Linked DNA regions of Oryctolagus cuniculus. The protein of the gene in region 2 interacts with the protein of the main gene of each other region in a pairwise test. Links are inferred from orthologs where the notes say so. Each region holds a gene or a part of one and is shown on either strand. Other genes may lie near its edges.

The links. The genes of interacting proteins can lie anywhere in the genome.
Region 1: the proteins of DUSP12 (region 2) and serine/threonine-protein phosphatase 2A regulatory subunit B'' subunit beta interact in binary tests that used the Homo sapiens proteins (3 or more experiments, as listed by UniProt). The two-hybrid records come from large-scale screens. The link is inferred for Oryctolagus cuniculus from reciprocal best matches to the Homo sapiens genes DUSP12 and PPP2R3B.

The regions. Positions count from the first base shown.
Region 1 is NC_091447.1:3,602,907-3,613,704, forward strand, and holds the start of serine/threonine-protein phosphatase 2A regulatory subunit B'' subunit beta, read left to right. Parts: upstream 1-3,833; coding exon 3,834-4,127; exon of another isoform or gene 4,128-5,862; coding exon 5,863-6,051; intron 6,052-6,472; coding exon 6,473-6,576; exon of another isoform or gene 6,577-6,832; coding exon 6,833-6,935; exon of another isoform or gene 6,936-7,159; coding exon 7,160-7,234; exon of another isoform or gene 7,235-7,468; coding exon 7,469-7,590; exon of another isoform or gene 7,591-7,685; coding exon of another isoform or gene 7,686-7,717; coding exon 7,718-7,772; exon of another isoform or gene 7,773-7,983; coding exon 7,984-8,140; exon of another isoform or gene 8,141-8,252; coding exon 8,253-8,301; exon of another isoform or gene 8,302-8,557; coding exon 8,558-8,647; exon of another isoform or gene 8,648-9,089; coding exon 9,090-9,265; exon of another isoform or gene 9,266-9,652; coding exon 9,653-9,774; exon of another isoform or gene 9,775-10,798. UniProt on the Homo sapiens protein: The B regulatory subunit might modulate substrate selectivity and catalytic activity, and might also direct the localization of the catalytic enzyme to a particular subcellular compartment.
Region 2 is NC_091438.1:37,037,729-37,047,847, forward strand, and holds the start of DUSP12 (dual specificity protein phosphatase 12), read right to left. Parts: upstream 10,074-10,119; 5' UTR 10,032-10,073; coding exon 9,688-10,031; intron 7,763-9,687; coding exon 7,649-7,762; intron 7,564-7,648; coding exon 7,445-7,563; intron 5,658-7,444; coding exon 5,561-5,657; intron 4,927-5,560; coding exon 4,746-4,926; intron 1,704-4,745; coding exon 1,542-1,703; 3' UTR 1-1,541. UniProt on the Homo sapiens protein: Dual specificity phosphatase; can dephosphorylate both phosphotyrosine and phosphoserine or phosphothreonine residues. Can dephosphorylate glucokinase (in vitro).

The sequences.
Region 1 (10,798 bases), on a different chromosome or scaffold from region 2:
ACGACATCATAAGCAATGACATAAAATGCCATCCCATGTCATAAACAATATGATTAAAAATGCCATCCCATGACATCATAAAAATAACATAAAATACAACAAAAATGAAACGCAATGAAATAGAATAACCACATAACTTAATAAAAGTGAAATAAAATAAAGTAAAAGGAAATCATATAGCATAGCATAATATAACATGAAATGAAATAATGAAATAAAAAAGGAAATAAAATAATATACCAGAACATAGTATGATAGAAAATAAAACAAAATACCATTCCACAACATAATAAAAAATAAAATACAATAAAATAACATAGCATAACATAGTATAAAATAAAAAATAACATGAAAGAAAATGCCATGGCATAAGATCATAAAAACTAAAATAGCATCCCATCCCATAATAAAAAATAAAATAGCATGTAATATCAGACCATAACATCATAAAAAATAAAATACCATATTATAAAAACTAAAATACCATTCTATCCCGACATATAAAATATCATCCATGTCATAAGAATGACATAAAATGCCATCCCATGATTTAATCCAAATGAAATAAAATACCATGAAGTCATAAACAATGACATAAAATAAACTGACATCCCATGATGTCACAGCACCCAACCCTCTGGGCAGTACTGGCTGTGGCCGGCCCTCCTGGGAGCAGTGGGCGGAGCTTCCCCACCTGGCCCCACCTCTTGCACTCACCCAGGTGAGGAGGCCTCTCCAGGGAGGGTGCCATGGGAATGTCCTTGCAGGGGGGCCCCCTGCACTCCCCTAGAAGTCCAAGCAAGTGAACCTGTGATTGAGAGCTTCTCAGCCATGTGTCAATCACTTCTGACAGGCACCTGTCACTTTATTTTTATTTACATTATTCTTTTTAAATTTTTTATTTGACAGGCAGAGTTAGACAGTGAAAGACAGAGAGAAAGGTCTTCCATTGGTTCACTCCCCAAATGGCCACCACAGCCGGCGTGCTGCGCCGATCCAAAGCCAGGAGCCAGGTGCTTCCTCCTGGTCTCCCATGCGGGTGCGGGGGCCCAAGCACTTGGGCCATCTCCACTGCCTTCCCAGGCCACAACAGAGAGTTGGACTGGTAAAGGAGCAACCAGGACTAGAACCCAGCACCCATATGGGATGCTGGCGCCGCAGGTGGAGGATTAACCAAGTGAGCCACGGCGCCAGCACATATTCTAATTATCTTAATTTATTTTTTATCTTATTTCATTTCTTTTTTATCTTAAATTTATTTTATTCCATTTATATTGTATTTACTTCATTTAATTTTATTTAATTATATCTCATTTAATCTGATTTCATTTCATTCTATCTCATTTATTTCCTTTTATACCATTTTATAATTTTCTTATTTTATTTCATTTATTCAACTTTATTATGTTATATACCATTTTATTCATTTATTGCATTATTTATAACTTATTGTATTTATTTTATTCTATTTTTATCTCATTGTATTTCATTTATATAATTTTATTTATACATAAATATTTAAAGATTTATTTGTTTGAGAGGTAGAATCAGAGAGAGAGAGAGAAGTCTTCTATCCACTGGTTCACTCCCTAAATGACAGCAATGGGCCAGAGCTGAGCTGATCTGAAGCCAGCAGCCAGGAGATTCTTCTGGGTCTCCCTCGTAGGTGCAGGGGCCCAAGGACTTGGGCCATCTTCCACTGCTTTCCCAGGTCATAGCAGAGAGTTGGACTGGAAGAGGAGCAGCCAGCCTGGAACAGGCGCCCATATGGGATGCTGGCACTGCAGGTTGGGGCTTTAACCTGCTGCGCCACAGCACCTGCCCCCATTTATGTTGTTTTAACTCATTTTATTTTATTTTACTGAATTTCATTTAATTAATTTACCTCAATACATTTATTTTGTTTTATTCCATTTCTTTTTACTTCATTTTATTGCATTTACTTCATTTCATTTAATTTCATGTATTCCCTTTCATCGTATTTATTTATTTCACTTCATTTTAATTTATTGCATGGATTTGTTTACCCAGAGCCACTGGATACACACTGAATTTTTCTGGAAGCTTTGTGTTTTGATTGGCAAGTGTTGAGCCCTGGGGAGCAGACTGGGTCCCTCCTCAAAAATCAGCTGTAGACAAAAAATTATTCAAGAAAATAATTTTTTCTCTAAAAAATTAAAGTATATATAAATACTGTATGCAAAATTCAAACCATATGCAAATCCTAATTCAAAACACATTAATATCAAACTATATGCAAATCATGCAGGTAAAAACCCAAACTATATGTGAATAACGTATGCAAAAAAGTATATGCAAATCCTATATGAAAAACCAACTACATGCAAATATTATGTCCAAAAAATCACATACTACCTTTGAAAAAAGTATCAAAAATTCAAATTAGATGCAAATACTTAATCAACGATACACCTAACAATCAAATCATATAAAAAATCAAATTATATACAAATCATGTATGGAAAAAATAGAACATGCAAATTCTGTATACAAAAAGTCAAAATATATGCAAATATGTCCCCAGATGCATACAATTAACTATATATAAAATTTGTATTCAAAAATGCATGCAAAATTCAAATCATATGGAAATATTGCCTGCAAAAAATGCATCCAAAAATTAAATTATATAAAAACATCAAATTATATGCAAATACTGTGTCCAAAAAATGCATCAACACATCAAACTGTAAGCAAACAGTGAATCCAAAAAATGCATTCAAAAATAAGTTTATACGCAAATGACTGCACAACATGCCTGAAATAAACTACGTGCAAATCCAGCTGCTCTCCTTTGCCTTCTGGGACACCTGCAGCCGGCAGCGGAAATCCACGAGGGTACCTGCCTTCCTTCTCTCCCTCCTCTTCCCCGTTTCTCATCCCAGAAAGCCGCAGCAAAAATCCCTGATTGACAAGGATTCGTGTGGCAGTTTTCAAGAGTATTTTTTTTTTTTAATTTTTTTTCAAAAAGTCCCAGGGAGGAGCAGAGCTTAATCCGGAAGCGCGTGGGCGGATTCGCCGCGCTGTCAATCACTAGGCGGCGCGAACTCGGCACCCGCCCGCTTCGCCCACGCTGCAGGGGCGCGCTCTGGGACTCTGCCCGCCAGCTCCAAGCTTTAACAGACTCCCCGGGCTCGGATCTAGGGGTCTCCGCCGGCGGCCCTGACTTCCAATGCCGGGCCCAAGGTTTCATCGTCACTCACTGCTGGGCCAGGTCTTTAGTGGACCCCAATTCATTTTAAAATCCAAGTAGTTTGAAATCCTACTACACATAAGCCGCCTTACTGGCGCAGTCCCGGGGACACACACTGCGCATGCAACTAACCATAGTCTTTCAAATCCTGCGCGCTAGCCTAGCTGCACATCGCGCATGCTCACTCCTATGCCCGCTCTCGCCCAGGTGTTCCCCTTCTCAGCGGATCGCATCGCGCATGCGCCAACGAGCAGCCCGGTTTCCCTTCGGAGCCTTGCTTCAGCAGCACGTTCTGCGCACGCGCAACCCCACAACAGCGTCCTTCCTGGACGTACTGTGCACGCTCCTGCGGCACCCCCTCAGAACACCTCAGGTATCCCAAAAAGCCATGAGAGCTGGGATGCCGGTCGCTTCCTAAGCCTCCGGGACATTCCCGTTAGCTTCAAGTAATGGCAAATGGGGCTAAGAAGTGAGACACAGGAAGGGAAAAAAAAAGCGTCGCGGCCCTGTGACGTCAGGCAAGTGGAAGCCGTGACGCGCGTCGCCGCTGGTTCGGGGCAGCCGCGAGTTCGGAGCGCGCGGTCCTTGGTTTTGTGAGGGAAGAACGGCGGCGGCCGTCATGTCGCCGGGTAAGACGCTCCAGCCCGTGCTGAAAATGAAGGTGGACGAGCTCTTCCTGCGGTGGCTGAGCGAGGACGCAACGCAGCGGCTGCTCCACGAGTGCCTGCGCGCAGTCCAGGCCCCTCAAGGCGCTCCCAACGTGGCCGTCTCCGCGGATGCCGCGATGCCTGCGCCCGCCCCGGGAGGACCCGGACCCCCTGCCGCTCCTGCCGCCCCTGGACCCCGGCCCGAACCTCACAGCCGCAGAACCCGCAGACCCGCTGTTCGCAGAGGCGGGCGCGGCTGCGCGGAGGTAAGGCCTAAGAGGAGGGTGTGCCCTGATCAGGTGGGCGTGGCCTTTGAGGGGCGTGAGCGGGCTCTGTGGGAGAGTGAGCCTGGCCTTCACGGATGAGCGTGGCCTGTTTATGTTGGGTGGACTGGCGTGGCCTCTCTGAGAAGTAACCCCGAGAACCAATACTGCTTTGGAGGCTGCAGGACCATTTTGGGCGTTGGCCACATTGGGTGGTAGAGAGGAGGGGGTGGCAGGAGCCTAAGTCGGGGGTGGGGGCGGACAGGGGCTTCATCCGTGGAGCGAATTCCCGTGCGCGTGGCGTGTTGTGTTGGGTGTGGCCCGTGGCTGTGGGCTGGTGAGGGGCTTGGAGGAAGAGAGGTTCCCTGAGTTCACCGGGGCCAGACCCCAGTGTTTTCCTTCGGGTGTGTGGGGGGGCGGTTCTACAGCAAGGGGCACTGTTTAACAGTTGCTTCGCCCCTGCGCCAGAACCTTAACCCCTAAAAGAGGAGGTTCTATCCCAAGTTGTGGGTCCCTGGAGATTTTTTAATTCCTTAAAAGAGCCATCCTTGCTAAGAAGTGATTTTTTTTTTGTTTTTGAAAGCTGGAGTGCCTGGTGATGGACAGATGTCACTCATATCAGGGTTGGCTGTGGGGACTCATGAGAAGGAAGCAGAGATGCTGAGTTGTCACTCATGGAGCAGGGAATCATGGGAAGGGATGCTGAGCTGTCACTCATGGAGCAGGGAATCATGGGAAGGGAATGGAGGCGCTGACCTGTCACTGATCATAGGCTCATGGAAAGCAGCAGACACTGAGCTGTCATGGAGCAGGGGTTTACCTGCTACTTCCAGCCCCGCCTCTGCCCCTCCCCTAGATGGGTTTCTGGGGTCTCTGGCCAAACGCAGGTATCCTAGGCCCAGCCATGGATAGCCAGGGTGTTGGGGTCAGCTGCTCTGTGCAGCCTGTGGGCTGAGGGCTAGGCTAGGCTGTCCCTTTGGCTGTTGATCGCAGGCTGATCTGGGCTGTCAATTAACCTTCTTGGGTTTGGAGTTTATCCCAAAGGCTGTGGGTGGGTCTTTCCTATCCCTGCTGTCTGTCAGCCTAAGTGGTATGAGGATGATGAGGACTATGTGTCTGAGGAAGATGAAGAGGGGGCCGTGACCACTGCTGGGTCTCTTCGCAGGGCCCACTGATTGTGGTTCTTGGAAGTGGGTTCTGGCCCTGGCCCTGTTGCAGGGATTATGGACAGCTGTCAATCATTGCCTGTCTGATATGGAGTGGCAGGTTCCCAGGTGGATGCTGTGGGGCCAGCAATGGGCTCCTGGCAAGAGGGGGTGGGGCAGCTGTCCATCAAATCTACTTTCTGTGGAGGTAGGGCCCCATCCACCGATAGCCCTGGACGCTCAGGGACAGCCAAAGGCAGGGTCAGCACAGCACGGGGTGGCTCTGCATTCCAGTTCTCACTGCCCAGGCTCAGCAGGGGAGGGGCTTGATGTGGGACTAGGGTCTCTGGCCCTGCTATGAGATTGAGAGTTCCCAGGCTGGAGTGACTGGTCTCAGGTGGATTGGCGGGTCCCAGTTTGGCCCCAACAGCTCTTGGCTAGAGTGACAGGTCCTGGGCAGGAATGACAGTTCTAGGGATGGAGTGGCAGTCCGTGGGCAGTCGTGGGCAGTGATGGTCAGTGCTCAGCAGCTCAACAGGGGTGGCTGGGGCAGGTCGCTGGCCACTAATGCCCCCTTCATCCATCCCCCACAGGTGCAGACGTGGCCGGAGCTGCAGGGAACTCCAGGACTCTCGGTGGGTGGGATCCCCACCTTCTACTTCCCGCGCGGCCGCCCAGTGGGTCCTGTCAGCAAGGATGGGGCCATACGTGCCGTGGAGACTGCGTTTGCCCTGCTCCCACTGCAGCGCGCCCGCCTGGAGGACATGGGCAATGTGGCCAAGGTTGGTGCCAGGGATGGGGCGGGGGCTGGGCTTGTGGTGCTGGAGATTGGGCTGGAGGCCAAGGGCGGGGCCTGCGAGACCTGGATGTGACCAAGGTGGGTGCTGGCCTGGGGATGGGACAGCCTGTGCCCTCCCTGTGGCTGGGTCGCTTTTGTCACTGCTGACCAGAGTGGCATTGCCTGTGCCCTCTCTGTTGCCGGGCCCTTCCTTCACATCTCTGCTGTCTGACAGCATGAGTGACACAGCCTCTGCCCTCCCTGTGTCTGGATCCTTCTTCTCCCTGGTATCTGGTTCCTTCCTTTCGCTGTTGTCTGTCGCTGTGAGTGGCACAGTCTGATCATTCCCTGTGACCAGGCCCTTCCAGTCGTTGCTGTCTGTCACCCTCATTGGCAATCTCAGTAACTGCCTGGTGGTGTTCCAGGCCTGTGGCTGCCCTTTGTACTGGAAGGGACCCTTATTCTACCGGGCTGGGGGCCGCCGCGGGGGATCCGTGTCTGTGCATACCTTCGTGGCCATGTGGCGCAGGTGAGTCCCAGGCATGCAGGGTAAGCAGGACAGGGGGCGGGCCTTGGGGATCCTACACCTGCTGGGCAGGAGAGTGTAAGGGGGGTGGGGCAGGGCAGGGCTTCCTCCAGGGGGAGTCCTGGGCAGGCCCTGCCTCCCCAGCTGCAGTAGCCAGAGGAGACCCTGGCTCTGCCTCCCACATGTGATTGGCAGAGGGGACCCAGGCCCCACTCCCACCTCCTGGGGACGGGGCTCCGAACGATGCTGATGCTTCCAGAATCCTCCAGGACTGCCACGATGAGGAGGCCAGGTTCCTGCACCTGCTCGCTAGTCCTGGGTGCGACTTCTTGGAACAGGAGGATTTCGTCCCCTTCTTGCAGGTGAGCACCCTGCCCCTCCCCCAGTGGGAGGTACACACGTCACACCTATCAATCACAAACCTCATACCTTTCAGTCACAGCTGTCAGTCACAGGTTATACCGCATACTTGTCAATCAAGTCACACCTGTCAGAGGGGAGTTCGCACCTCACACCTGTCACAGGGATGTCTTCACCTCACACGTGTCACACACCTCACACCTGTCACTCACTTCCTGTGTCCCAGGATGTGGTAGAATCACACCCTGGCCTCGCCTTCCTCAAGGAGGCACCTGAGTTCCACTCCTGCTACATCACCACTGTGAGTACCCCTGACCCCAAACCCAGTGTGATACCCAAACCCTGCCTGTAACCCCTGACCTTGCAGTGACCCCTGACCCTGCCTGGGTCCCCGTCCTGGGCAGTAAGAGGAATACACCTGGGTATAAGTTCGACTGTGCTGGTCAGAGTCACCCTGTGAGTGGCAGCTCCTTGTGAGTGGCGGCTCCTCCCGCCCTCTGTGAGTGGCAGCTCCTCCCTCCCTCCCCTGTGACAGCTCCTCCCTCCCCTGTGGCTCCGCCCCTTATGGGGGCAGGTCTCTCGGGCCATCTGCTCACTGCTGCCCTGGACTCAGGTGAGAGGATGCCCTCAGGTGAGGACAGATGAGAGGACACTCAGGTGAGCACAGGTGAGGATGTCTGCCAGCCACTGCCAACACGCCACTGCTGGTCCCGCCCCCTGCTAGCCCCAGCCCCACCCCATCTGCCCCGCAGGTCATCCAGCGGATCTTCTACGCTGTCAACAGGTCCTGGTCCGGGCGCATCAGCTACAATGAACTCAGGAGGAGCCACTTCCTGCAGGTGGGGGAAGTGGGAACCACCTACCATGATGGGAGACCCCGCCTCCTGGGAAAGGAGTCCCTGCTCCCAGGACAGGAGACCCTACCCCCAAAGAAGATTCCACCCTTAGGACAGGAGACCCTAGTTCCCCACCCAGCAGGAAAACCCACCCTCCACAACCTGAGGTCCTGAGCCCCACCTCGTTCCCATCCTGAAGCCCCGCTCCCCGCAGGTTGTGGCGCGGCTGGAGGAGGAGGCGGACCTGAGCCTGACAAGCGGGCTCTTCTGCTATGAGCACGTCTATGTCATCTACTGTACCTTCCGTGAGCTTGACACTGACTGCGACCTCCTGCTGGGCAACTGTGACCTGGCCCGGCACCGCGACCACGGTCGGGGACCCCAGGGACCCCAAGACCCCTTCCCAGGGACCCCCCCCATGCCGACCCCAGCCTCCTGCCCTGCCCTCTGCATGGCTCACAGGCCCTGCCTCTTCTTCCACAGCCATCTCCGACAAGATGATTGACAGGATATTTTCAGGTGCTGTCATGCGGTAGGTGGGGTCCCCGGCGGGGGAGTAGAGGTGATGCCATCGTGTTGAGGGATGACATGGGTGATGACATCACAGATGATGGCATCACAGGTATTCATCACACCAGATTGGGGCAGTGTGGACAGCACTGGAGGGGGACTCAGGGCCAGCACAGGACTCCTTGGGTTCCCCATGTGGGGCTGGACAGGGATACCCCCAGCTGGGAGTGGCCCATGCTGAACCTGCCTGTGTGTCTGCTGGCTACTGCTGACCACAGGGACAGGACGGCACAGAGAGCAGGGAAGATGAGCTACGAGGACTTTGTGTGGTTCCTGCTCTCCGAGGAGGACAAGACCACGCCCACCAGGTGGGTCTGAGGGCCCCCCTTGCAGGCGGATAGTGGATGACGCTGGACACCATGGGCTCACTCCTCGGCCCAGGGTGTGGTCTGGGTCAGGAAAGTGGTCAGCTTGGGTTCTGTGAAGTCAGCAGTGTCCATGGTGTGGCCAGTGGTAACTTTGGGGTTAGTATGGTCAGCAGTGCCCACTTGGTCAGCTCAGGGGATCAGTGAGCAGAATCTTTTGGGTGATCAGTGGTCACATTGCTGTCAGTGTGGTCAGCAGCATGGTCAGGGATCACTCCACGGTTAGTGTGGTCAGCGGCTGACTGCCATCTCCCTTGACAAGGCAGCATTGAGTACTAGTTCTGAATGGACCTGGGTGGGGACTGTGTCCCTAGTGTGGTCAGTGGTCACTCTGGGGTCAACATAGTTTATTCCCCTACTGACTGCCACCTACCCAACTGGGCAGCATCGAGTACTGGTTCCGCTGTATGGACCTAGATGGGGACGGGGCACTGTCTGCCTTTGAGCTTGAGTTCTTCTATGAGGAGCAGAGCCGCCGACTACGCAGCCTGGACGTCGAACCACTGCCCTTCCCAGACTGCCTCTGCCAGATGCTGGACCTGGTTCGGCCAAGGACCCAGGGTAGAGACCCGCCCCTTCCCTTCCCAGCCCCCACCATGGAGGTCCCTTCCCTTGCTGGCCCTGCCCCCTCCCCATCTCCAGGGTCCTCAGTGGCTGAGATCCACTTACCAGGTCCCAGCTGTTTGCCCACAGGGTCTGGAGGGCGTTGCTGGCGAGTGGTCCTGCAGTCCCCTCTGGCCATGGCCAAGGCGTCTGGGTTATCCCCCTCCACCACGTCCATCCCAGCATCCAGGCCTCCTGTGCCCCTGCTGCCCAGCACCTGCCTGCATCGTTTACTCTGATTTCTCTGAGGCCTCTCTGGGTCCACATGTACATCCCCCACGTCTGGCCCTGGCCCTGGCCCTGGTGTCCAACCCCACATCCATGCCCTTGCATCCACCCCCATAGGCCGCATCACGCTGGGCGATCTGAAGCGGTGCCGGCTGCTGGCGCCCATTTTCTTTGACACCTTCTTCAACGTGGACAAGTACCTGGACCGTGAACAGCACGAGCAGTTGGCCCTGCCCGGGGTGAGGCTGCCTGCTGACCCCTGCTGACAACTGACTGCTACTGACCACAGACACCACTGACACAGGGAGGTGGGAACTTCCTGAGGAAAGAAGCTCCGTTGGCCTCTATCACCCCGCTGCCTGGCAGCAGAGGGGGTCTGAGCAGGCGGCTCCTTAAGTCTAAATTTCTGGCTTTGCTTGCCATGTCTCCAACCCTCGGCAGTCCCCTCATACCCATGGCTCCCTGGGAAGCTGGGCGGAGCCAGTGAATTGTTTTTTAAGCCTGGGGCCAACAGGGTCTTCTATGACCCAGGAACCCTTTGACCCCCTAGCCCTCAACCAGGGCATGGAAACAGGAGCCACTGGGGGATGGGCTGGCCTTTTGGGGTCACCATGATGGCCGATGACCTTGTCAATCACCCATTAACTGGCATGAATTTTTCTCGGTCTTCTTCCTCCTGGTCTCTCTTACAAAGCTGACCTCGGAGGTGGCCATGAGGACTTCAGCTGAGGGGGTAATGCTTGGTCCCACCCCTAATCGTTTTTATTTAATATTTCCTGGAATATCAGGAAAGTAATGGTCATGGCTAGATTCTGTCATTTTTTTGTATTTTCCATGTGAATTAAGATGATGCCCAGGAGAACTATGTGCTTGCAGCTCAGAGCTGATGTGCTAAGCTGCCTAAATGTTGATGTCATCATGACATCATGTAATAGTTTGATGTTATTGGAACTAGAGGCATCACTAGTAGCATATTGGCATCTTGATGTCATCATGACATTATCTATATTATGACATCAACAACACTTCCTATCTGCCCATCACTTTGGCCAGGCATGATGGCAGAAGGATCTTCCTCACTGCTTTTGTAAATCTGATGACTGATGACCTCTGCTGACCGCTGACCACTGCTGTCCACTAACCAATGCTGACTACTACTACTCACCAATGACCGCTGCCAACCAATTGCTGATGGCCCCTACTTGACTGCTGCTAACCATTGACTGCTGACCTCTACTGACCAATGACTGCTGATTACCACTG
Region 2 (10,119 bases):
TCCCAGGCGCATTATTAGGGAGTTGGATCAGAAGTAGAGCAGCCAGGATGTCAGCCCTGCAGGTGGCAGCTTTACCCACCATGCAACAGGGCCAGTCCCTATTCTAGATACTAAGAAGTTCATTATTTACACCTTATTTTACATTGAAAAATTATTCCCATTTTAGTTTTTACAATACAGACACATATTTCTCTTTATTAGCTAATTCTGATTTCATGTATATGTTCAAAATACCAAATTAGGTCCAATTTGCCCTATTAATAGTGAGTACAATTCTAGTTTCCAGAAATCAGGTTACAAAGTTGATCTAGATTTATTACTTTTTCCAATACTCAAATGTATTAGACTAAAAGAGTAACTGACATGTAATTCCACATTAATCTTGATTATTAAGACACATCTAACATTAAAGTATTTCTTTATGTAGATTGCTTTAAGAGGTATCTCAAACACACTTTTCTAAAAATGTAGATAAAATGTTTATTGGAGTGGGCACGGTGGCACAGTAGGTTAAGCTACCCATCCTGTATCAATGCCTGGATGAGTCCTGGCTATGCTTCTACTTCCAGCTTCCTGCTCATGCACAGCACGTGCTGGTTCAAGTCCTTGGGTCCCTGCTACCCATGCTGGAGACCCAGATGGAGTTTCAGGCACCTTGCTTCATCCTGGCCCAGCCTCAGCTGCTATAGGCATTTGAAGCATGAACCAGCAGATGGAAGATCTCTATCTTTCACTGTTTTACTCTGCCTTTCAAATAAATAAACTTAAGAAAAAAAAAAAAAAAACCTGCAGATAATTGGAATTTCTGAACAAGAAAAACATATTCTGTTTTACTAATAGCCTTTCTTTTACATTTACAAGAAAAATCTAGACATAAATAGGCTTACTAATTTCCCTTAAAAGAGAGAAAGCAAAATTTCAAAATACGAGGGTACTTCAAAAAACTCATGGAAAACTGGAATTAAGTTTCAGGGCAGCATTTGGCATAGTGGTTAAGATGCCATAGGAGACCTCCCCCATCCCGTATCAGAGCGCCTCAGTTTGAGTTCTAGCTCCACTTCCTATTCCATCTTCCTGCAAATGTAGGCTAAAGCAGCAGGTGACGATTCTGCCACTAATATGGGAGACATGGATTGAGTTTCTGGCTCTTGGATTAGGCTTGGCCCAGTTCCAGAAACTGCAAGCATCTGGAGAATAAACCAACAGATGGGAGATCTTTGTCTCTGTCTGCCTTTCAAATTAAATAAATAAATCATGACTTTTAAAAACATGAAACAAATGAAGTGTTAGTATCATAAAAGATTTTACTATCATATAAAATTTATATGACTAAAAAACTTTGATTGCTATGTATTCTACTTACATCACGTAATAACCTAATAACAGGGCAGTTTCTAGGTTACTTCATGGGATTTTTCCCTTTCACACTGCAATTGAAATGTTGATGGCCTACAAACTAGACAACCTGCAGTGAGTAACTGAAAGCCGGGGCAGCATGTATCTTCAGCAAGGTTCCTTCCAAGATAGCAGATGTCACAAGTTCATATTTTTCTTGTTTGTGATCCCAAAACTGGCAGCATTTTCTTTTCATCCACTCTGTTCTTATGTATTTGGAAAGCAGGTGTTATCCATCTTCCACATGAGCACTGTTCACCATACCAATTGAAGGAACCCAATTTGGCACTGCATTTTGGACAAAGCAGCTGAAATAAAAAGCCAATGTATTACTTCATTTATTCACTTTTATACAAAACAAATAATTTTCTTTGGCAATATAGGATATAAGCACAGGCAAACATGGCCCCTATCTTCAAGGAGTTTGTACTCTAATTGGTGACATTAAATACATGAGGAATTTGCTGTATTATAGATGGTGGACTACAATTACTGCCTAAGAAGTATGTTGTACTCGGGCAGCTTAGAGGAAGAACAGATGGATCCCAGCTTTAGGGGAGAAAGGTGACATTTGAAACTCAAGGATGGCTTCAAGAATGTGGCATACATACTAGGTTTTTAAATCAACGTGTAGGGGCAGGCACCTGACACAGTGGTTAAGACATCACTTAGAACAGCCACATCTCATCAGAGTGCCTGTTTTGAGTGCCACCTCTGCTTCCAATTCCAGCTTCCTGTTATGGGTACCCTAGAAGGCAGGTGATGGCTCAAGTAATTGGGTCCCTGCCACTCATGTGGGAGATCCAAATTGGATTCTGGGGTCTTGGCCCAGCCCTAGCTGTTGCAGGTATTTGGGGAGTAGACAAATGGATGAAAGATCTCTCTCTTTTGGTTCTAGTTCCAGCTGCTCCTCTTCCAATCCAGCTTTCTGCTATGGTCTGGGAAAGCAATAGAAGATGGCCCAAGTACTCAGGCCCCTGCACCTGCATGGGAGATCTGGAAGAAGCTCCTGGCTTTTGATCAGCCCAGCTCCGATTGCTGTGGCTATTTGGGGAATGAACCAGCAGATGGAAGACCTTTCTCTCTATCTCTCCCTCTCCGTCAGTAACTCTACATCTCAAATAAATAAATAAAATCTCAAAAAAAAAAAAACTACAACATGAATAAAGAATGGAAAAGATTATTAGGATTCTCATGTTTTATTACTGATAATGATAGCATGTAAGTCAGATTCCTAGTGACTTAAAAACAATCAACTGATATTCCAGTAAAACAGATAAATCAAAGCTTTAGTAAACTGTATTTTCTTTCAGTGCAGTTATCACATTTTTTAGGTTTAGTTCTATAATTTGTACATGGTAGGAAGTAGGAATTTTTGCTTTTAATATTAAACTACAGGAAGTCCAGATTTAAAGCCCAGAAACCACAAATGAAAAAATAGACTACACAGTATCTTAAATTTTATTACAAAATATACCAAAAATTTGAGATAAGTAATAGACTAGGGAAAATAATTCTATTTATTAAATGAAGCATCTACATCTAGAATATATACACAGCTCCTACAAATCAGTAAGAGTAAGAAAATTCATAGAAAATAGGCCAGGGATGGTAAAGCAGTTTACACAACAAGAAACTATAGATGGGGCGGGGGGGGATCGGCGCTGTGGCTGAGCGGGTTAACGCCCTGGCCTGGAGCCCCGGCATCCCATATGGGCATCAATTCTAGTCCCAGCTATTCCTCTTCTGATGCAGCTCTGTGGCCTGGGAAAGCAGTGGAAGATGGCCCAAGTCCTTGGGCCCCTGTGCCCGAGTGGGAGACCAGGAAGAAGCTCCTGGCTCCTGGCTTCGGATAGGTGCAGTTCCGGCCATTGCGGCCATCTGGGGAGTGAACCATCAGATAGAAGACCACTCTTTCTCTCTCTCTCACTCTCTCTGCCTCTCCTCTCTCTGTGTAACTCTGACTTTCGAATAAATAAATAAATAAAAAGCAACTATAGATGGCTGGTAAATGCAAAGATGTCATCCTCGGCTGTAGTCATGAAAAACGTAAGATTAATATTTTCATGATACAGACTGACAAAACTTCACCAGTTTTATATATAACTTGCCCAGGGTATGAGGAAATGGGTAGATATTCACTGTTGGTGAAAACTAAATTTGTATGAGCATTTTGAATGTCAGCCTGGAATATGATTAATATTTAAAATGTATACAGTCATAAAGCCAACAATTTACTTCTAAGTGTATACCATATAAGAAAACTCAAATATGTATACAAAGAAATACGCACAAATAGGGTTTAGAATCTTTCACAAAAATATCATGTGTTTGTATATTTTCCAGGTTAAATGAAAGCAGCAAGCCAAAAGCATAAGTCACCAAAGAGCAATATTACAGTTCACCAAAATCTGAAACAATCACTGTAAATACGATCATCAAGAATGGGAAATGAACGCTAATGGATATATCATTTTAAGGGTCATGAGAATAGCGACAGTTGCAAAAAACTGTGAATATACTAAAAGCTGTTGAATTCATTATTCTAAATTGGTGAACTGTATGGTATGTGAGTTATACTTTAACAAAGCTGTTTTTTTAAAAAGTAACAAAATCTGAAAATGTGCATTTGAATATAGGATACTGTTTTTAAGTAAAATACTCAGTAAATAAATGAAGTTTCCCCACATATAAAGTATGACTGTATCTGTTCTACCACCTTTATAAAGCCATTTTATTCCAATGACATGGAATAAGAGTTTCAATAAATATCCATTATAAAAACTTTTCTACAAACTTTTAAAATCACTATTAAAATTATTTCTATAGAATGCCTGCATATTAATATCAAAAACTTAAACCTAAAGAAAAAAGTGGCTGTCACAGGATGTTATGAGTTGTATTCTTGGACAGGAAATGAAAAAGAATCTCGTAACAAACATACTAAATTGAAAGATCAGAAAAAGAGAGAAATGCATGGAATTAAGAAAGAAAAAGAAAGGGAAGACATTTTAAACCAAATTTAAAAATTCCTGAGGTAACCTACTTGTTACAAAGTTCAAATTTTATAAGATATTAATTTGTTTTAAAGTAATATTTGTTTTATATTTGAAAAATATAAATAGACTTAAAAGAAACTTATTAACTTAGAGTAGCAACTCTCAACTACCATTTAAAATCAGCTGATCTTTAAAAATATTTATTTTTGACAGTCTGATCCACACTAGAAAAATATAATCTTCATAAAAGAAAGGGATTAAGATGGAATAAAACACTAGTTAAAATACAAAAAGGAAGAAAATACAGATTGTACAATGAAATTGTAGAAAAAATAAGAAATGTATTCTGACCTGCCCATCCATCACTCCCAACAAAGCAGATTCCATCCACTGTACAGGTTCAATGAAATAAGATGTACACTGAGTCCCTGTGGCAAGCATGAATGATGGTGCCATTCTCTTGTGGGCAAAAGCTATAGGTCCACTTCCTTCACTGTGACCCAAAATACTTGAACTTCGAAATAAGGATCGCCTGCAATTCCCAAACAAACATATTAATCAAAAGGATTTTTTTTTTTTTTTTTTTTTTTTTTTTTTTTTTGACAGGCAGAGTGGACAGTGAGAGAGAGAGACAGAGAGAGAAAGGTCTTCCTTTGCCGTTGGTTCACCCTCCAATGGCCGCCGCTGCAGCCGGCGCACCGCGCTGATCCTGGCAGGAGCCAGGAGCCAGGTGCTTTTCCTGGTCTCCCATGGGGTGCAGGGCCCAAGCACCTGGGCCATCCTCCACTGCACTCCCTGGCCATAGCAGAGAGCTGGCCTGGAAGAGGGGCAACCGGGACAGAATCCGGCGCCCCAACCGGGACTAGAACCCGGTGTGCCGGCGCCGCAAGGTGGAGGATTAGCCTATTGAGCCACGGCGCCGGCTCAAAAGGATTTTTAAAATAGATAAAATGTACAGTATTTCTTCAAGGCCAAAATAACACAACATCGATTATACTTAAATTTTCAATAACCTCTACAATTTGGTGTTTTTAAAACTTAATTCTTAAAAACAAATTTGAACTAGAAATTTCTGTATTATTCAATTCAACAAATTCTTCCTACAGAGATATAAGAAAATGATATGCTACGTCCTTTTCAGCTACTGAGAACACAAAATATTTTACCTGCACTTTCTACACTTGTAGAGAACTTCATCTTTCAGTCCTTGTGAAACAGTGGTTGGGTCAACAGCAAAGAGTTCTTGAGGTAAACTCTGCAATTCTATGACACAATTAAAACGCATCCATTTGTTATTATCAGCTTGGTATTTTCAGATAAAATTCTGTTTGTGTTTACTGTGTTTGGGATATAGCTTGTGTTCCGTTAGGTGGGAAGTTAGACATTAGTCTATGTGCATTGAGGGGCTGAAGAACAAAAATGAGAATTTCATGTGGTTGAATGAGGGAAGGCAGAAGCATGCCTTCGAAGCAGACCAGCATTTGTGCAACAAAAGTCTTGCCCAGGTCCAACAGCCTTATTAGGTGGCTCCCAGCCCTCCCCCAAAGGGGCATCCTAGGGAACACTTCCCCACCCTATACCAGGGCTATTAGGTCCGGTAAAGGGTGCTAATGAAGTCCCTGGAGGAATTTCACAGATTCCCTCTGACCCCGCCCCAGTCTCCCTGCAGACTGGGCTCTCAGTTCTTTGCTGAGTTCCCCACCTGGACTGTCAATTGTATTCTCTTCATTAAACCTCACTAGCATGCTTACTGCTATTCTCTGTCTCATGTCTTTCTTGACCTCTGATCCAGCCATCCTGGGCCACTCCGCACAATGGTCCACATGCTGGAAGCTTGGCTCCCAGTGTGACAATGTTGAGAGGTGGTGGAACCTTTAAGAAGTAAGACCTAGTAGGAGGTTGTTAGGTCACTGTGGCCGCTGCTCTTGGAAAGGATTAATGTAATTATTGCAAGACCCTGGTTCACTCCCAAAGAACAAATTATTATAAAAGGAGCAGGCCTGAGCTCCTAGTCGATTGCTCTTCTGCTGATCTCACCTGTGATTGTTCCTTCTTTCTCGCATACACTCCCACCATGTGAATTCTGGGTCCTGATGGAGTCAGAAGGCCCTCACCAGAGCCAAGCAGAAGCTGGCACCATGCTCTTGGACCTTCAAAACTGTGAGCTAAATGAACTTCTTTTGTTTACAAAGTACCCAACCTCAGGTACTTTCTTATAGCAACAGAAAATGGACTGATACAATGTCAACTGAACAATCAAGTGCTAACCTCAGAAATCAAAACAAAAACAAATTATAGTGTCAGAAAATCAGGATGAAGTTACAAAGCACAGTGATTAAGCTCTTGGCTTGAGTTCAAACCCAACCCTGCCATTTACAAACCACCTGACCCTGGATAAGATTTCTGGCTAAACTGCAATTTCAAAAGAAAACAATTCCTATCTCATCTGATTGCTAGAAAAATGGGACAATGTATTTAGTGTTGTTGGGCAAGAAGTCAGATATTAGCCTAAGGATGAGAGAGAGACTGAAGAACAAAAATGTGAATTTCCTGTTGTTGAATGAGGGGAGAAATGTAGAAACATGCCTCAGAAGCAGACTAGCACGATAACCTTGTTAGGTGGGTTCCAGCCCTCCCAGGACGGTTACTACTTAGGAGAATCTTCTCCACTCTGCCCCAGGAAAATTTTAGATCCAATTACATGGTGCTGATAAAGTCCTAGGAGGATCGTCACAAATTCCATGCCCGGGAAGCCCTCCACCCACCAGTGTTCCAGAAGAGGAAGGAGGGAGAAGAAATGATCGCTCCGTACGCAGAACTCCCACCTAAGGCAGACGGCGCTCAGTCCTTCGCTGCAATGCCCACCTGGCCTGTCAGGTGTACTCCCATCACTAAACTTTGCTCCCTTGCTTACTACTACTCTCCGCAGCATGTCTGAAATTCTCTTCTTGCTAGAAGCAAGGGTCTCTGATCCACAGGTCTCTGGTAAGTGTCAGGGTAAAGGACATCAGGAAAGCACTCTGCATACACTGGCAATTAAGGTTACTTACCTGGATACTTCTCTGTAACCTTTTGTAAACGATATTGCTTATAAATCGCACTAGAGGTATCCACTTCATATCCCATTGCCTGGTATAATTTCAGTTGCCACTCAAACCCTTCGTTCATCCTGAAATGACAAAGAAATATAAAAGCCACAATTCTTTAAATAAAGCTACATCCCAAAAGCAGCAATATTACAATGAAGAACTCACTTAGCCTCTGGTTTGATGGTCTGGAGGTTCTCGTAGGCTTCTTCAAAGCTAAGCTTGTCAGTCTTCATCACAAAAGCTGTCACTATCGCCACACTTCGACTGACTCCTGCATGACTGAAAAAGAAGCCTTCAAAATAAAATAAGCAAATAGCAACAATTAAAAAAAAAAATCCAGCCCCTCTATTAATGGCAAAGTTCCAATCCACTTCATTTCTACTTCTATTCAAATAAACCCATTACATCTGAAATACTACCAATGTATGAACAAGTTATCATCATTTTTGAAAGGCAGAGAGAGAGCTTCTATCCTCCACCATTTGGGACAACCCATGGGTGCCAGGAACCCAATTTCTTGGTTCATCACTGCAGCCTCCCAGGGTCTGTGTTAGCAGGAAATTGGAGTTAACAGAAAGAAATCAAACCCAGATACTCCATGTGGGATGTTGGTGTTTCCGCTCCTATTTCCTTTTTCATTTTAAATTCTGAACTACGAGAATGTATCTCACCTATTCAAACTTAATCACTCTTTTTTTTTTTTTTTTTTTTTTATGTTGTGAAGCCTTTGTAACAAATGAAAATTCTTTTGCTCTTAGCATTAAGGGCCTGGAGCTCTGGTACCAAACAGGATCCAATTTAAAAAAAAAAAAAAGAATTTAAGCCGGCACCACAGCTCACTAGGCTAATCCTCCGCCTTGCGGCGCCGGCACACCGGGTTCTAGTCCCGGTCGGGGTGCCGGATTCTGTCCCGGTTGCCCCTCTTCCAGGCCAGCTCTCTGCTGTGGCCAGGGAGTGCAGTGGAGGATGGCCCAAGCACTTGGGCCCTGCACCCCATGGGAGACCAGGAGAAGCACCTGGCTCCTGCCATCAGATCAGCGCGGTGCACAGGCTGCAGCGCACTGGCCGCGGTGGCCATTGGAGGGTGAACCAACAGCAAAAGGAAGACCTTTCTCTCTGTCTCTCTCTCTCACTGTCTACTCTGCCTGTCAAAAAAATAAAAATTAAAAAAAAAAAAGAATTTGTTTATTTATTTATTTGAGACGTAGAATGAGAGAGAGAGAGAGAGAGAGAGAGAGAGAGAGAGAGAGAGAGAGAGAGGGGCACAGACACAATGTGGTCTTCCATCCACTGGTTCACTCCCCAAATGGCCGCAAAGGCTGGAGCTGGGCCAATCCGAAGCTAGGAGCCTCTTCTGGGTCTCCCATGGGGATGTAAGGGCCCAAGCATTTGGGCCACCTTCTACTGCTTTCCCAGGCCATAGCAGAAAGCTGGATTGGAGAGGAGCAGCCGGGATTTGAACCGGCGTCCACATGGGATGCCCACGCAGCAGGTAGAAGCCTAACCCACTATGCTACAACGCCGACCCCAGGACCCAGTTTTTTAACTACCTTCCTTTCTTTGTGTAAATATTGAGAACAAGTGGTTGACACACAATAGTTACTCAATAAATTTAAAACTACTGCAACCCAATCCAAACAGCGCTACCTAGGGATACCCAAATATCCATCAAGAATTTATCTTTTTGCTTTTGCTGCAACTTACCCACCCCAACTCTCCCCTAGGCAAGGCCCAGGGGATCCTTCAGATCCTAACCAATTCTCCCCTTCATGAGCACCCTGCCCCCACACACACCTCACACAAAAACAATTAGAAATGATCTGCCGTTCCTCTGAAGTCTGAATACTTAACCTGAGCACATACTCTATCCTAGGTTGTGTTACAATCATTGGGGTGGGTGTTTTGCCTCCTAAGGAGCTGTAAAAGCTTGAGGCTGTAGGGACTTTGTCATTCATCTGATGACTCCTCCCATCCAACCACCCCAAAACAATTCAGTTGCTACTGAATGAACCAAAGCATGAAAGAAGGAAAGCACGCGCGCCAGCAGTGGCCCGCCTCCTGCTCCTGCCCCTCCCTCCCCCTGGAACACACACCCCTGCGGGAGGGAGTGGGAGGGGGTCCCCTCCCCTAGGGGCCTCGGAGTGACAAGGAGCAGGCTGGGAGCAAAGTCAGGCTCCTCTCCACCCCCCTACCCGTCCACTCACCAGTGCACCAACACTGCACGGCCCTCAGAGCGGGCCTGGCCGATGAAGGCCACGCACCGATCCAGGTGGCTGAGCAAGTCAGTCTCGGGTTTATCTAGCGCCGGCACGAAGAGGCTCCGCAGACCCTCGACCCCAGCCCCCGCCTTGAACCCGGGCTCCTCCGAGTCCACCGTCAGGATGGCCGTGATCCCCGCCTCTCTGAGGTGGTCCGGCTCCGCCACGGCCGCGGCTCCACCCAGGTACAGCCCTGGCCGCACTTCCAACATGGGCACGGCGGAGGCGGTCGGGCTCTCGCTCGGATTCCGATCCTGGAAGCCATGGCTGGGACTCTGAGATTCCAACATGGCGGCCCCCGGAAGCCAGGCCGCTGCGGTCTCTACCACCGAGTGGCCGCGGGCTGGAACATCCCTCCCCGGGACCCGTCGGCCTCCG